Diceros bicornis minor: one gene and its partner. The protein of the gene in region 1 purifies or fractionates together with the protein of each later gene. This does not show direct contact. Links are inferred from orthologs where the notes say so. Each region holds a gene or a part of one and is shown in the gene's direction. Other genes may lie near its edges.

Evidence for each region. Proteins that work in one complex are often made in the same cells at the same time.
Region 2: the proteins of RNF7 (region 1) and SPSB2 purify together in Homo sapiens (co-immunoprecipitation; 3 studies listed by BioGRID and IntAct, with this or other methods). This does not show direct contact. The link is inferred for Diceros bicornis minor from reciprocal best matches to the Homo sapiens genes RNF7 and SPSB2.

The regions. Positions count from the first base shown.
Region 1 is NC_080741.1:11,972,050-11,980,083, reverse strand, and holds the start of RNF7 (RING-box protein 2), read left to right. Parts: upstream 1-4,853; 5' UTR 4,854-4,888; coding exon 4,889-5,063; intron 5,064-8,034. UniProt on the Homo sapiens protein: Catalytic component of multiple cullin-5-RING E3 ubiquitin-protein ligase complexes (ECS complexes), which mediate the ubiquitination and subsequent proteasomal degradation of target proteins.
Region 2 is NC_080756.1:54,870,623-54,878,389, forward strand, and holds SPSB2 (SPRY domain-containing SOCS box protein 2), read left to right. Parts: upstream 1-4,709; 5' UTR 4,710-4,878; coding exon 4,879-4,893; intron 4,894-5,037; coding exon 5,038-5,794; intron 5,795-6,778; coding exon 6,779-6,906; 3' UTR 6,907-7,174; downstream 7,175-7,767. UniProt on the Homo sapiens protein: Substrate recognition component of a SCF-like ECS (Elongin BC-CUL2/5-SOCS-box protein) E3 ubiquitin-protein ligase complex which mediates the ubiquitination and subsequent proteasomal degradation of target proteins.

The DNA.
Region 1 (8,034 bases):
GGCGCAAGTGGTTAAGTGTGCCCACTCTGCTGCGGCCGCCCGGGGGTCGCTGGTTTGGATCCCGGGCGCACACCGACTCACCGCTTGTCAAGCCATGCTGTGGCGGCGTCCCATATAAAGTGGAGGGAGATGGGCATGGATATTAGCCCAGGGCCAGTCTTCCTCAGCAAAAAGAGGAGGATTGGCAGATGTTAGCTCAGGGCTGATCTTCCTCACCAAAAAAAAAAAAAAAAAAAAAAAAAGCATCTATCTCATTTGGTGAACATTAAATGAGAGGACACGTGGCAAGCATCTTAGGACAATACTTGTTTCTTAGTACATGCTCTCAAATGAATGTTAGTGGCTCTTACTACTGCTGTTATTATTGTTGATGTTAGAATTGAGTGATTCCAGTTATTTCACTTAGGACAGCTACATAAGAAAAATAGAAAAGAATAAAAAAAGGGAGACTTAAGACCTCTGCATTTTGAAGTTAAAAAAAAACAAACATTCATTCTATGTACAGGTGTAACAAGTGCTGGCAAGTTCGTGGAACCAAACCAACTGTGGAATAAATTATGTCTCCTCTTGAGGATCTTAGCATCTAGCAAGGAAGACAAGATCCTCATACATTAAAAGTAAACAACAATGGAGCATAAGAGTTGAAATAATATGTCATTAACCAGGGTAAGGAAGGTTATAGAGTAGTGAGATCAATTTAACAAATCTCCAGAACTTAAATATCCATTGTGTGAGGCCTCCTGAGAAATTATTCCTGATTTAAAAAAAAAAATTGAGGGGCCAGCCCCATGGCATATTGGTTAAGTTCACACACCCTGCTTGGTGGCCTGGGGTTCGCAGGTTTGGAACCCAGGCGTGGACCTACACACCGCTCATCAAGCCATGCTGTGGCAGCATCCCACATAAAAAATGGGCACAGGTGTTAACTCAGGGCCAATCTTCCTCCCTCCACTCCCCCAAAAAAATTGAAATTTGCCACTGACATCTACTGGATGAGAGTGTAAAATCTATATGCCTCTTTAGGGGTCTTTTCGCAATGTCTATCAAAATGAAAAATACATAGCTTTTGACCCAGATATTCTACTTCTAGAAATTTATTTTACAGATATACTCTCACACCTGTGCAAAGAAATATACATAAGGATGTTCACAGCAGCACTGTTTATTATACACTGGAAACAACTAAATGTCTCTCAGAGGATACTCAGGGAAATAAATCACAGAAAATATATGTAGTGGAATACTATGCAGCCATCAAGAGGAATAATGTAGATATGTAAATACTTATATGGAAAGGTAAAGTAATACTATTAAACAAAAAGAGCAGGCTAGAGAATAGTACATGTGAAAAATTCATATTAAAAGTGAATTGATGTAATATGAGCCAGAAATTTCACTTCTTCTTTTTTTTTTTTGTGAGGAAGATCAGCCCTGAGCTAACATCCATGCTAATCCTCCTCTTTTTGCTGAGGAAGACCGGCTCTGAGCTAACATCTATTGCCAACCTTCCTCCTTTTTTTGCCCCAAAGCCCCAGTAGATAGTTGTATGTCATAGTTGCACGTCCTTCTAGTTGCTGTATGTGGGACGCTGCCTCAGCATGGCCGGAGAAGCGGTGCGTTGGTGCGCGCCCGGGATCCGAACCCGGGCCGCCAGTAGTGGAGCGCATGCTTAACCGCTAAGCCACGGGGCCGGCCTGCAATTTCACTTCTGAGTATATACACAAAAGAATTGAAAGCAGGATCATGAAGAGATATTTGTACACCCATGTTCATAGCAGCGTTATTCACAATAGTCAAAGGTGGAAGCAACCTAAATGAATGGATAAGGAAAATATGGTATATACACACAATGGAATATTATTCAGCTTTAAAAAGGAAGGAAATTCTGACATATGCTACATGGATGAACCTTGAGGACATTATGCTAAGTGAAATAAACCAGTCACAAAAAGACAAATACTGTATGATTCCGCTTATATGGGATATTTAAAGTAGTCAAACTGAGAAACAGAAAGTAGAATGGTGGATGCCAGGGGGAGGAGAGGGAAATGGAGAGTTGTTTAATGGGTATGGAGTTTCAGTTTTGGAAGATGAAAAAGTTCTGGAGATTGATTGCATAACAGTGTGAATGTACTTAATACCATTGAACTGTACACTTAAAAATGGTCAGGATGGTAGACTTTATGTTATGTGTATTTTACCACAATTAAAAATTTTAAAAATGAGCTGATGTATTAAGTGTCTGCTTGCACATATATAGGAATTTCTGGAGAGTCTATTAACAGTACTTGCTTTTTTTCATTGTATACCCATTTTACTATTTTAATGTTTTTATCATTTATGAGCTCTCAATTTTAAAAACTTAAAATTGTTCAATAAACAGCAGTAACAGCATTTTTTGGTTGCTATGTGACCTGGTGCCAAAGAGTAAAAGAGACACAGTAAGTGCTATTATTTCATGGAAGGATATGAATAAATGGTGGCAAAGAGTGGTCGGTGAGGACACAAAGGTGTGTAAGTTTTCCTAAATGCAGAGGGCAATTTCAGAAATGTTAAAATGTGAGGGGAAAAAAAAAAAAGACCGCAGGGTGTGTTTGGATGACTGAGCAGACCAATTTGATGAGGGTCTTGGATAGCGGTGCTTGGGGAAGACGCTAGAAAAGTAGGGTTGGGGCCATATTGTGGCAGGATTTAAATGACCAACTGGGTCATTTAGATTTTTTTCTGACAATAACGTGGGGCTGTGGAATGTTCTGAGCAGGAGAGTGCCAGGTGGAAAATGGGATATAGGAAAATTAAACAGGCACGTTAGATTGAAAGCCAGTTAGACTGCGGGGGAGAGACAGGAAGGAAGTCAGGACACAATAATCCAGGGGCAGGGTGATGAGGCTCAGACTCGGCCCAGCCATGTACCATTTCTCCTCCTTAACCATCCTCTAGTCTTTCATCCTTTCATCTGAGTTTCCCTCCTTTTCTATTTCAAACTGCCCAGTTCCCACCAGCTGGGTGCATTTTATCCTCATCTGGTTCCAGCCTTCTTTTTGTATGAGCTATCTAGCATGTAGAGCCATCTCTAGTCAGATGTGTGGTCACTTAATATGAATAAAATGTGTGTTTTGTATGGTTCATCTGGGTTTGTTTATAGGCGTTTTTGTCTGGCTCACAAAGTTAGTGTGGTCAGATTCACATCTGCCACCATTACCACTGCTCTGCACAGGCTGACAGCTCGTAGAGGTTTGCTTTCTTCACTCGTTTCCTGGCCTCCAGGGCCTCTCACCTCCCCGCAGTTCAAACTTCACCTCTTCCTTGAGGCTTTTGCTCACTGTGTCAGTTCTCAGCAATGTCTCTGTCCCTCACAGCACTGAACACACCACTCAACAAACAGCACACATTATCATCTCGTCAAATGTGACCCTGTGTCCATATTTGTATTTTTACACATTTATGCTAGGAAGAAGGACCTTGCCACCCACTTACGAAAAAACTGGCCATGAAAACCCTGTGAATAGCAGCAGAGCATTGTCTGATATAGCGCTGGAAGGTGAGAGGATGGCGCAAAAGACCAGGCAGGGTTCCCCTCTGCTGTACACAGTGTCACTAGGAGTCAGAATTGACTCCACAGCACTAATAACAACAACACATTTATGCATCCTTGTCTCCTCTGCCAGGCTCCTTGAGCCTGGTTAGCACCTCCAGGCACAAGGCCTGGCATCAAGAGATGAGGGGATGATGAGGCCCAGCAAGAAGAGGTGGGAGGCTCTGAATTCCAAACCTGACACAGCAGGTGTCCACCACTAGGTGGTGGTGGTAATCAGGCATCTCCTTAGGCTCTCTGTGCGTCAGTTTTCTTATCTTTTAAATGGAGATGCTGTCTGCTTTGCTTGGGAAAATATAATAGGTAATATTACCCCGGGCTAGGAATAGAAGAACCCTGGCCTCAAAACTGTAACCTTCACCTAATAGCAATGTGCTCTTTAAGTTACTCACTTTTCTGGACCCCATTACTCCTACACATAAAAGGAGGAGGTTAAACTAGACCAGAGGTTCTCAGAGTGTGCTCCCCAGGGTTCCTGAGATCCCTCCTTCAAGGGACCAATGAAATCAAAACTATTTGCATAACAATATTCAGAGCTGTCTCTCTTCTCACTCTCACTCATGAATATAGTGTTTTCCAGAAGGTACATGATATGTGATGTTACTGCTCTAATGCTAATTTGTAATTGGTTTATTTCTGTTATTTTTAAATGAATGAGTACATTTAAAATTTTTCCCCCATTTTACATTTTCCTTTAAATTAAATATATATCCTACATAAACAAAAACTCTTTAAGGTCCTAAGAATTTTTAAGTGTTAAGGGGTCCTGAGACCAAAAAGTTCGAGAACCATTCAACCAGATTTCTAGAACATTCACTCAAATAATTGCGTCCCGTGAGGCAAGGCATTTTTTAGATACTGAGGATAAGGAAGTGATAAAGACAAGGTCGCTGCTCTGATGGAGTTTACATTTGGGAGGGACGAGGCAAACGAATACATTAACAAGATAATTTCTGAGAGCCGCAAGTCTCCCGAAGGCATAAAGCAGGACACGCGTTCCCCGCAGGGTGCGCCCGCTCTCCCCAGAGTGACACCGCACGCGGGCGACTCAGGCCTTCAGCCGGCAGCCGCCAGGAGGCCCTGCGGGCAGCCCCGGCGCGCGGGGCGGGGATGCGCCGGGCGCTGGCGTGCGGTGACGTCACTAGGCCGCGCCAGCCAATCGCGGGCAGCCGCTGCCGTAGGCCCCGCGGGCCTGCGGGCGGCGCTGTGGCCCGTCGGGCGGCCCCACAGAGCCGCCATAGCCGCCCTCCTCCCGCGACCCAACGTCTCGGCGGCCGGCTCCGCGCCGCCGTCATGGCCGACGTGGAAGACGGCGAGGAGCCCTGCGCCCTGTCGTCGCACTCCGGGAGCGCAGGCTCCAAGTCGGGAGGCGACAAAATGTTCTCTCTCAAGAAGTGGAACGCGGTGGCCATGTGGAGCTGGGACGTGGAGTGCGATACGTGCGCCATCTGCAGGGTCCAGGTGATGGGTAAGCGCTCACACGAGGCCCGGGCCGCGCTGCGGCCTCCGCGGAGCCGGCTCCTGGCGGGGGGCGGACGAAGCCTCGGAGAGACTCCTGCCCCGGCGCGAGCGGGCCGGGGACCACGCTGGACGGGAGGCTGCGGCCGCCGCCTGGGGGCTGCGCTTCAACAGGCGCCCGGCGCCGGGGGCTGGCGTTCTGTGGAGAGAAACGGGCAGTGGGCAGAGGAGTTAAACAGGATAATTTCAGGTAGTGACGGGTGTGATCAAGAAGATAAAACTGGGAGGCTTGGTGGGAGCTGGGAGGAACCACTTCGGTTTGTGTGGCCAGCCCCGGCAGCCCCTTCTGAAAGCAAACCGCGGAGAGGTCGGGGTGAAGGCCTTGAGTCAGCCGGGCTCGGTGATGGTTCTGCTCACACACCGGCGATGCCCCCGAGTCATCTTCCCGCAAACCACACCTCGGTTCCGCTCCTGCGAGGCGCGGGGAGCAAAAGCCTTCCCAGCCGCTGCATTTCTGGATTAGCTCCTGCTGTTCTGCTGGCTTTTAAATCCGCACGATTCAGGACGCGGCAGATGTCACTCGCTCGGCTAAGGGGGTACAGTGTGATTCAAGAATGTTTAAATTTCCTGGGAATTGAAGAATGGAAGCCCTTTATTTAGAAACACGAAACTTCTTCCCGGCCTCTCCCCATCATATCTTTCCTGAGAAAGATACTGCCCTGCTCGGCGTCGGTCCTTGACGGAGAACCCTGTTTCACAAATAAGTTTTATTTCTTTCTACGGTATTTTGAATAAAAATATTGGACCAAGGGAAACCTTTCAGAACAGCTTCATCTCGTTACGTTGTATATGGTTTCTGTTTTAAGATCTCAGATCACCTTGGAAAAGACGGGCTGTTTAAATGCAAGTTATAATTTGAAGTAAGGCATTTAAAACTAGTGAGAGCATCCTAAATGCCTTTTCTTGAGGGCAGATGAAGAAAACTGAGGTTTCTGTAGTTTTTAAACTTTGTGTCTTGTCCTAAAAAATGAGAGAATTGGAGAAAATAGCTTGAAGAGAATTGCTCTCCCTTCTCGAGGGATGAAATTTTAAACCTACCAGTATCAAGAGATTCCACAATTTACACTCTCTTTAGTTTGCTCTCTTGTGTTTTATTCATAAGGACTTGTTTCAGAAATAATTTACAACAATGGGATTCAAATATTTTTATTCTACTTTTGAGAGAACGTGATTTCTTTGAAACATGATCCACTTACTTTACATATTAGGTTTTAAAAGCACCTTCTTTATTGGCCTGCAATACAGCCCCTTTACTCCAACCCTTACTTAAGAACTAGAATCATAATTTCCAGTTTGGGTGGCATTTTTAGCTTTTCCAGGCGACTTAATCTTTTGGTCTCTTGCGAGAATGTTTATTTTTCTCTCCAAAGAAAAATTTTAAAATAGTAAGTAGAAATGCGGAATTTAAAATAATGGTTGAAATTTTGCAACAAATAAACTTTACTGGGATATTTAAAGTAAGTCAAAATATGAGCTGTCAATAGCTCACATTCACATTAACTTTCTAATTATAGCAAGTGTTCTGCTACTGTGGATTAATGTTGCAGGTGGACAACAGCTGTACTTTGGGTTCAGGAAAGTATTCTGGACTAGACCTTTGTATTTTGTTTATGAGGTGTTAAAATCCACTTAGTGGTCAGGTGACAGACGGCAGAAGGAAGTTTGTTTTTCAGACTCCCCAGCCCTTACCCTAGCATCATTCTGAAAGGTGTTACTGTTACTATACTCCTTAGAAATGTGCTCTTTTGGATATTAGAAACATCCTCAAAAGAAGCTTTTTCCTTAATCTGAAACTTTAGGTATTTTTTCCATATAAGTCAGTTTTTGATAATGAATCTAAATCAAAGCCATAAGCACCATTCAGGGATTTCTAGATTCTACAGAAAGAGCCCACTTAATCCCATTTCCTTAATATTTGGAATTCATCTCGTACACCTAAATGATTTATTATGACTTCTTGATCCAAGATTTACCTGTCAGCCCATTCTGATGTGGTTAACGCTCTCTTCCTCCGTTTCCACTCTCCTCTCTTCGTTCTGCAAGGAGCAGAGGGCACAGTGAGCAAGTGCTGATGAGGAAGAGGGGAGTGGGTTTGCTAGCACTGCCAAGTTCTGAAGAGCCAGAGTAACCAACATGGCTGCATGTTAACTTGGACATTTGACGTAACCTTTTGGAGGCTTGTTTTCCTAATTTGTAAAAGAGGCAGTTGGGATCACAAACTCGAATTCTGTGATTGCACAGAACCAGCCATGTCTCCACTGTTAGATCACGATCCTTAGGCTATTTAGTTGTTTGCCTGTCCACCTCCCCATATGCTGGTGAGACCAGGGACCCAGACTTGGCCATTTTGGTGTCCCAGTGCATAACTCCTTGTATAGAATAGATACTCAGTAATTGTGGAATTGAAGAAAGCCTCAGGAGGCAGTGGTTGTTTTTCATCCATGCTGAAGAGGCCAGGGTGGTGTGTTTTTTTAGGGTAAGGGCGTGCAGAGAGAAGCAAACAAATGCCTGAGCAGAACCCAGGGTAAGAGGAGAAGCAGGCTTCAGCTCCACCGTGGCTCTACTTTTACCTAATTATTTTTCTCCAACTTATGTTAAAAACTATTTTTTTCTGTTGGTTTGAACTTCCTTTTATCCAACTTTGATTCCTCTTCCAGCTAGTGAATGAATCTATTGCATAGCTCCCTGAAATATTCTGTTACCTCCTTCATCAAGCAAATAGTAATACAGATTGAATTTTGAAAACTTATAGTATACCCTTTAGGTTCTCATTCCTAGTGTTTACTCCCAAGTACTTTATTAAAATACTTAGCCATTGTTGGGTAAAGGCTTCGGGATCAGACTTATTTGTAAAGGGAACATTTTCTTAAGGAAAAAAGAGAACTTAGTATTTAGGAGGGTTTTTTTTTTTAATTTAATTT
Region 2 (7,767 bases), on another chromosome or scaffold:
AATCAAATGCAAAGTCCTGGGTGACTGCAACACCTTTCCTGATTTGGTTTTATAGTTCCACATTCTAGAAGTAGGACCTGAGAGAGAAAGGCCTTGGCTTTAGTGTTGCTGATCACACACAGCAGTACCCCTCCGAGGTACCACACACTTTATGAGTGTGCTCATAAAGACATGGAAGTCGTCTTCCCCCCAACATCACCCCTATCCTTCACTCTGCTGATCTAAGCATGCTTTGCTGTTTCAAAGCCACATACATGAGGCTGAGATTCCTCTTTGACTCTCAGAGCCGTGAATGCTGACCCTAGTCTTAATGTGGTAATGAGTTGGAAGAGTTGGAAATTCTTGGGTATTGCCAGTTGCATTATTTATATTAAACAGGCATGGAAACAATCAAGCCTAAAACTGTCAATGCATGTTGGGAAGAATGTGTTTAGGACTTTAAGGGTTTTCTATTGACAAAGAAGTGAAACTCACTGTTCAAGTGGCCTAGCAAGTGGATCATGTTGGCTTTGTGGAAGAAATTGAAGAACTTCTTGAGAGCCACAGAGAAACGCTAATAAAAAGCTTGAGGAACTGATAAAATCATCCCCAGAAGACAAAGATATGATGAACAGGAAGAGAAGACCAGTTCACATCTTTATAAATATGTTCAAGTGCTCCATGCTACAAAATACCTGAATGATTCCTTTTTTGTTTTTTTTTGTGAGGAAGATCAGCCCTGAGCTAACATCCATGCCAATCCTCCTCTTTTTGCTGAGGAAGACTGGCCCTGGACTAACATCCGTGCCTATCTTCCTCCACTTTATGTGGGATGCTGCCACAGCATGGCCTGACCAGCAGTGTGTCGGTGCGCGCCCAGGATCCGAACCTGGGCTGCCAGCAGCCGAGCACACGCACTTAACCGCTACACCACGGGGCCAGCTCCTGAATGATTTAATTTCTGAATAAAATCCCTCTATGGAGAGAAACCTCAAAATTACATGTGGTTAAATCTGTACATTGTGATTCCTTATAACCCAGCCATTCTGCACATAAGTATATACCCAACAAAAATGAGTGCCTAGGTCCACCAAAAGACTTGTACAATACTGTACACAGCAGCCTTCTCTATAACAGCTAAAAACTGGAAACAAATCAAATGTCTATCAATAGTAGAATAGATAAATTGTGGTATATCCATACACTGAAATACTGTAAAACGATGAAAATAATGCATTCTATTTCATGCAACAACATGGATGACTCGCACAGACATAATGTTGAGAAAAATAAGTCAGACACAAAAGAATATATACCATATGGTTTCATTTATATGAAATCAAAGAAGAAACAAAGCTAATCTATACTGATAGAGGTCAAATGGGAGTTACCTTTAGGGGTGTAGTGTCAGGGAAAGGGTAAGAAGGAACCTTCTGGGATGCTGGAAATGTTCTTGATCTTGATCTTCGTGGTGGTGGTCACACAGCATGTGTAAATATTTTTGTAATATGTAAAAACTCATTGAGCAATTTAAGATTAATATACTTTATGTTATATCTCGATAAAAAAGTAAAATATTAAAATTACTTGTAGCATTATGAATATTTGAGCTATTATCAACGAATGTTTGAGCAGTTCAAGATCAGTGCAACAATTTGTGAATACCATGCTTTAAACAACCAGCAGCTGAGCAGGTACGGTCAACTTCTCAAGATGAACTAGAGTCAGCCATGGCGTATGCTCGCTCTCTGTCCCCTAAGCCTTCATCCACTCGCTTATCACACAGGTCCTGCACTAATATTCACAATAGGCTGCTACTCACAGTCATAGTGTCATTATTTTTGTCGTCACACTGGCAAGACGATCCAGGTTGGGTGGATGACAAGTGTTCAGGTTCATATCTTTTTTTTTTTTCGAGGAAGATCAGCCCTGAGCTAACATCCATGCTAATCCTCCTCTTTTTGCTGAGGAAGACGGGCTCTGAGCTAACATCTATTGCCAATCCTCCTCCATTTTTTTTTCCCCCAAAGCCCCAGTAGATAGTTGTATGTCAGAGTTACACATCCTTCTAGTTGCTGTATGTGGGACGCGGCCTCAGCATGGCCGGAGAAGCAGTGCGTCGGTGCATGCCCGGGATCCGAACCCGGGCCACCAGTAGCGGAGCGCGCACTTAACCGCTAAGCCACGGGGCTGGCCCTCATATCTTTCTTTTTAATATGCTTTCTTCTTTCTCTTAAAATATTATAAAATTTTATTCTGTACATCATTGTATACATACTGCCACATACTGTATTTTACACAAAACTAACATATGCTGTACCTAATAGATGGGGTAAGAAGGGATTTTCAAGGGTAATTTTGACTATGAGACATAATTGTCACCTAACCTCTCTGACTCTCTATCCCCTAAAAATGTGAAGCTTGTAGCACAGTGCCTGACACACAGAAAGTGCCAGTTCAGCCAGACTCCCACCTTCCACAACCCACATGTGCTCTCTCACCAAAGTTGCCGACGACAAAAAAAAATTTTGTAAGTAATCAAACCTGAATTTTCTGCTGCACTGTATCCTCCCTGACCCTCTTCTCACTCTACACACTCTCTCTGGGTTCCCTCATTGATTCTCATAGTTCAACTCCTGACTACAGGCTGACGCAGCTCACAGATTTATATCTCCAGCCCAGGCCTCTCACTCCCCCTCCAGACCTGCTATTTTCAAGTGTGTTCTAGATGGTTCCATCTGGTTGTTGCTCAGGCACCTCAAAAAACACGTCCTAAACTGAACTCACCACCTCTCTCCCACCCTCCTGCCCCTGTTGCTCCTCTTTCTGTCATCTCCATCTTCATTAGTGCTACCACCTTCCAAGAGAGTCTTCCAGGCTAGAAACCTCCCTTATTCTCTTTCCTTTCCCTGCCTCAGCATCCAAGTAGTCACCAAATCTTGCAGTTTTATCAGTGTTTCTTGAATTCTTTTCATCTTCTTTCCACTTCCCTATTTCAGGCTTTTGACACTTGTCACCTGGTCTGCTGGAACCAGTCTCCTTGCTTCCAGTCCTATTTCCCTGGAAACCTCCTCTACATTGCTGCCAGGGAGGTTTTTCTAAAATGAGTGTCTGACCATGTTCCTCTCCTGCTTCTATCTGTAGAAGAAGATATATGTGGCTCCCCATTACTGGCCTGTCCTACAAGATATTTGCATTCCTTAACTGGCCTGCAAGGCCTCAAGATCTGGCACTGACTTCTCTAGGCTTGTCTCTCCTGCTTCCTTTCCCGTTGCAGCAACCCTGAAGTCTTTGAATTTCCCCAAACCCACCTACTGATTCCGGCTTTTTTCATGCTGACCCCTCTGTCTGGAATGCCTTCTACATGCAGCAACCCTAACCCAACCCCCAAGCTGCAGAACCACTTCTCAGACCAATTTCTAGTCAATCTTTAAGATTCAGCCCAGTGTCATCTCCTCCAGGACATTTTTCTTTCCTAACTGCTTGACCCCCTATTAGAAGTCCCATTCTTTTTACTCCCATAATACTTTCATGATATCTCCATAATTTCATCTACTACATGATAAGCTGTTTTATAAATGTCCTTCTAACTTCTTTGAGGATTCAATGCTTAATCTTCAGTGCTTAACACAAATGATTAAATTTGAACCGGAAACTAAGTGCTTTATGTATATATAACCTCACAGAACCCTCACTACACCCCATGCAGTAGATACCCAATAGTATCTCCATTTTACAGAGGAAGAAACAGGCACCAGGGAGGTTCAGTAATTTGCCCAAGGTCACGTGCATACTGGCCTTGGAGTAGTCACACTCAGTCAGCCTGGCTCCACAGTTAGCATCTTTCACCACTATATCATATGGCCTTTCTATAGAGTGGGCACTTAGTAAATGTTAGGTAAACGATAATAGCTATGCTTAGTGAGTGCATTCTATGTACCAGGCTCTGTGCTAAGTGCTTTACCTGAATTATTTCAACTCCACAACAACCCTATGAGGTAAGTACCATCATCATTCCCATTTTACATAAGAGAAAACAGGTTTAGAGAAGTTTGGCAACCTCCCCAAGGTCACACAGCTAATTAGTAGCATAGCTTCACTCACAACCAAGGTCTTAACCACTGCACTACCAAGTGAAACCAACAGCTCAGGAATGGATTGACGTCCAGGATGAAGACTAGAACAGCAATGGAGACCTATGACACCTAGGCTCAAAGCACAGAGTTCCAAACCTCAGACATACAACAGGCTGACTCACAACTGGGCTAGAAAGAGACCAGCCCAGAAACAGTGACCCAGAATCAAAGGGCCGTGGAAACAGATGTCAACACTATGGAAGCCCCTCCTAGACCCCATGCCCCTCATCTCTAGGGGCTGAGGAGTTGGTAGCCAGGCTGCTCAAAGGTCTTGACGATGGAGAACAGACCTCCAGGGATCCCAAAACGATGATACTATCAAAGGGTTAATTCGGAGCCTGGACTGCCCGGGTGCGGACTCTGTAGCGGCCGGAGAAGGGTTAACCGCCCGGGAGAGCCTCCTCGCGTGGGGCGGTGACCAGAGGTTAACCGCCAGAAGTGGGCTTTACGGGGGCGTGGCCTCGGGGCCGGGCGCGACCTGGGGCGGCGACGGGAGGGTTAACCGCCCCTGGTGCCCCCTTGGGGGCGGGACGTCGGGCGGGGCGGGGCCTGGGGGAGGTGCTGGAGGCGGAAGCGGCCGGCGATCAGCGCCCGGTGCGCCGTGGCTGTCGACTGGGCTCCTCCCGAGGCCCGGCGACCTCCCGGCCTGGGAAGCCAAGCGAGGTTCGGGGACCGTGACGGGGGCACGGTGCAGGCAAGGGTGACGGCCCCCGGAGAGGCCCAAAGGAGGAGAACTCGCGAGAGTCTAGGGAGACCGGGACAGATGGGTGAGGACAAGGTGATGGGCCTGGGAGCTTTTGGGAAGCGAAGGGGGAAGAGAGGGGCGATGGGCAAACATGGATGGGAGGATGGAGCGCCTGGGTGAGGAACCCCCTCCAGGATCCCGCACTTCACACCCTCCTCCTCTCCAACTCCTCTCCAGGTCAATCCCGAACGGGAGCTCAACTTTCAGAAGAGAGACGCCCCAGCAAGACTCTTTCGGGGAGTCCTCCGGCTACTCACCTCCATGGGCCAGACGGCCCTGGCAGGGGGCAGCAGCAGCAGCAGCAGCACCCCCACCCCACAGGCCCTGTACCCTGACCTCTCTTGTCCAGAGGGCTTGGAGGAGCTGCTGTCTGCGCCTCCTCCTGACCTGGGGGCCCAACGGCGCCACGGCTGGAACCCCAAGGACTGCTCAGAGAACATCGAGGTCAAGGAAGGGGGGTTGTGCTTTGAGCGGCGGCCCGTGGCCCAGAGCACTGATGGGGCCCGGGGTAAGAGAGGCTACTCGAGGGGCCTGCATGCCTGGGAGATCTGCTGGCCCCGCGAGCAGAGGGGCACCCACGCCGTGGTGGGCGTGGCCACAGCCCTCGCCCCGCTGCAGGCTGACCACTATGCGGCGCTGCTGGGCAGCAACAGCGAGTCCTGGGGCTGGGACATTGGCCGGGGGAAGCTGTACCATCAGAGCAAGGGGCCCGGGGCCCCCCAGTATCCAGCCGGACCTCAGGGTGAGCAGCTGGAGGTGCCGGAGAGGCTGCTGGTAGTTCTGGACATGGAGGAGGGAACTCTGGGCTACGCAATTGGGGGCACCTACCTGGGGCCAGCTTTCCGCGGACTGAAGGGCCGGACCCTCTATCCGGCAGTAAGCGCTGTCTGGGGCCAGTGCCAGGTCCGCATCAGCTACCTGGGCGAAAGGAGAGGTGAGGCTTGGGGCAGGTGTGGGGAGAGGGTTCTATCACTGGTGGCTGTGTTTTGGGATGGCAGCTCAGCGCCTTACAAGAACAGAGGGAATGGGCCTTCATCTCACCTGCCTCCTGCCCCTATTCAGTGCCAGAAATGGCTAAGGGTCTTCACAGCTGTTACCTGATGTAATCCTCCCAAAAGCAATAGAGGTAAAAGTGAGGCTTGAGAAAGCAACTTGCTAGTAAGTGGTGATCCCTCAGACTGGAGGGAGACACTCCAGGGATTCAGAGTTAGGGCCTTACAGGCGATATCAGCCCCTGGAGCAAGAGGTGCAAAGGGTAGATGGGTACTGAGCTAGGTGTCCAAGTCCAATAGAAAGAGGACTGGGAGTGCCAGGCACCCAGGGTGTGGACCAGCGTCTCTGGGCTCTGACCTGTCTGTGACACATACCTACTTCCTTCCTCAGTCAAACCCCAGGAAGGATCCATTGAGGCCCTGGGCACCAGGAAGGGAGCAGTGAAGGAGGCCGAGTCTGGGGGTGGGGCTGCAGGGGAAGGGTCTCCTTGGCAACTGAAGGGGCCAGGGCTTGGGGCTGATTGAACTGAACATTCTCTGCAGTTGCAGTCTTCAGCAGAACAAGGATGCCTCTCCTCCTGTCACCCATGTGAGCTATTCGAGAGCAGAGGAGGGCAATCCTTCCTCTCACCTCATCATCCCTGGCTTCAAGGCCTCTCTGGAATCAAAGCCTGGGCCAGCTCCACCGTCATCAGAGCCACCTTGGGCCTTAGCTATAGCACCCCAGCTCTGACTGGGGATGTATGAATTCTGAGATGCCTCTCACCCCAAGAGCAGATAGAGGTGCCTTAGATCTCCCTTTCAAGCAAGGTGGGAGCAGACTCGGAGCAGGAAAGCAGAAGGGAACCTGGGCAGGACCCAGTAGTTTGAGGATATCTGGCTGGTGGCTGCACTCCTACCTAACTTCCTCTCCTTCTTTCTCCCAGCGGAGCCACACTCCCTTCTGCACCTGAGCCGCCTGTGTGTGCGCCACGCCCTGGGAGATACCCGGCTTAGCCAGGTATCTGCTCTGCCCTTGCCCCCTGCCATGAAGCGCTACCTGCTCTACCAGTGATACCACAGACTGCGCTGGGGCCTTGACACCCCTCTCCCCTGGGTGGGGGGAAGGAGGCACTGCTGGCCTAGACCAGCTATGTCAAGCCAGTGAGGGTGGGGGAGGTGAGGCTGGGCCCCTACCCCAACCCAAGCTCCGGGGAGCTCAACAGCCCCAGAGCCACCCAGAGGCGGGGTGGAAGGGAGGAGCTGTTATTCAAGGCTGTGGCAGCCTGGTACGAAAGACATTTTTTCAAGTAAAAATGCTAAGAGATGTGCTGTTGCGGAAACCTGTTCGTGGTATTTTTTTGCACAAGGGTCCTCTGGCTGCCTCAAAAAAGAGAGAGAGAGATGATATGGGCAAGTATTGTGAAGAAGGACAAACAACAAGGCTTACTTCCAGCTGTTTATTTCCCCCACACGTGGGACTGCTCACATACACAACACACACAGGCGTTGGCACCAAGGGAGAGAGCAGCACCCCTGGCCTTGGAGGGGAGGACCGGGCTGTCTCTCAGCCCTTGGCCTCATGGTGTGAGATGGGAGAGGAGGATGGCTTCTTTCTCCTCCCTCACTGGGGACTGAGGGGACCCAAGAGCAAACTCTACCCCTTCCACCTCTCAGCCAAGGAGAAGCCACCTTGGTGACATATTTAGTTCCAACTATTACAGTAAGTGGAGAAGGGATTGGCCTGGTCCCAACCATTATAGGGTAAGGTGTAAACAGTAAAGGAAGAGGTACAGTTTGGATTAGGCCAGGAGAGGGGGCAGGTGACACGACCAGAAGCATGTGTGTGGGGGGGTGGAGCTGGGGATGCAATTATTGGGCTTCTGAGCTACCTAGTCCCTGGCTTAGCAGGACGGGCAGGGGAGATGGATGGGGC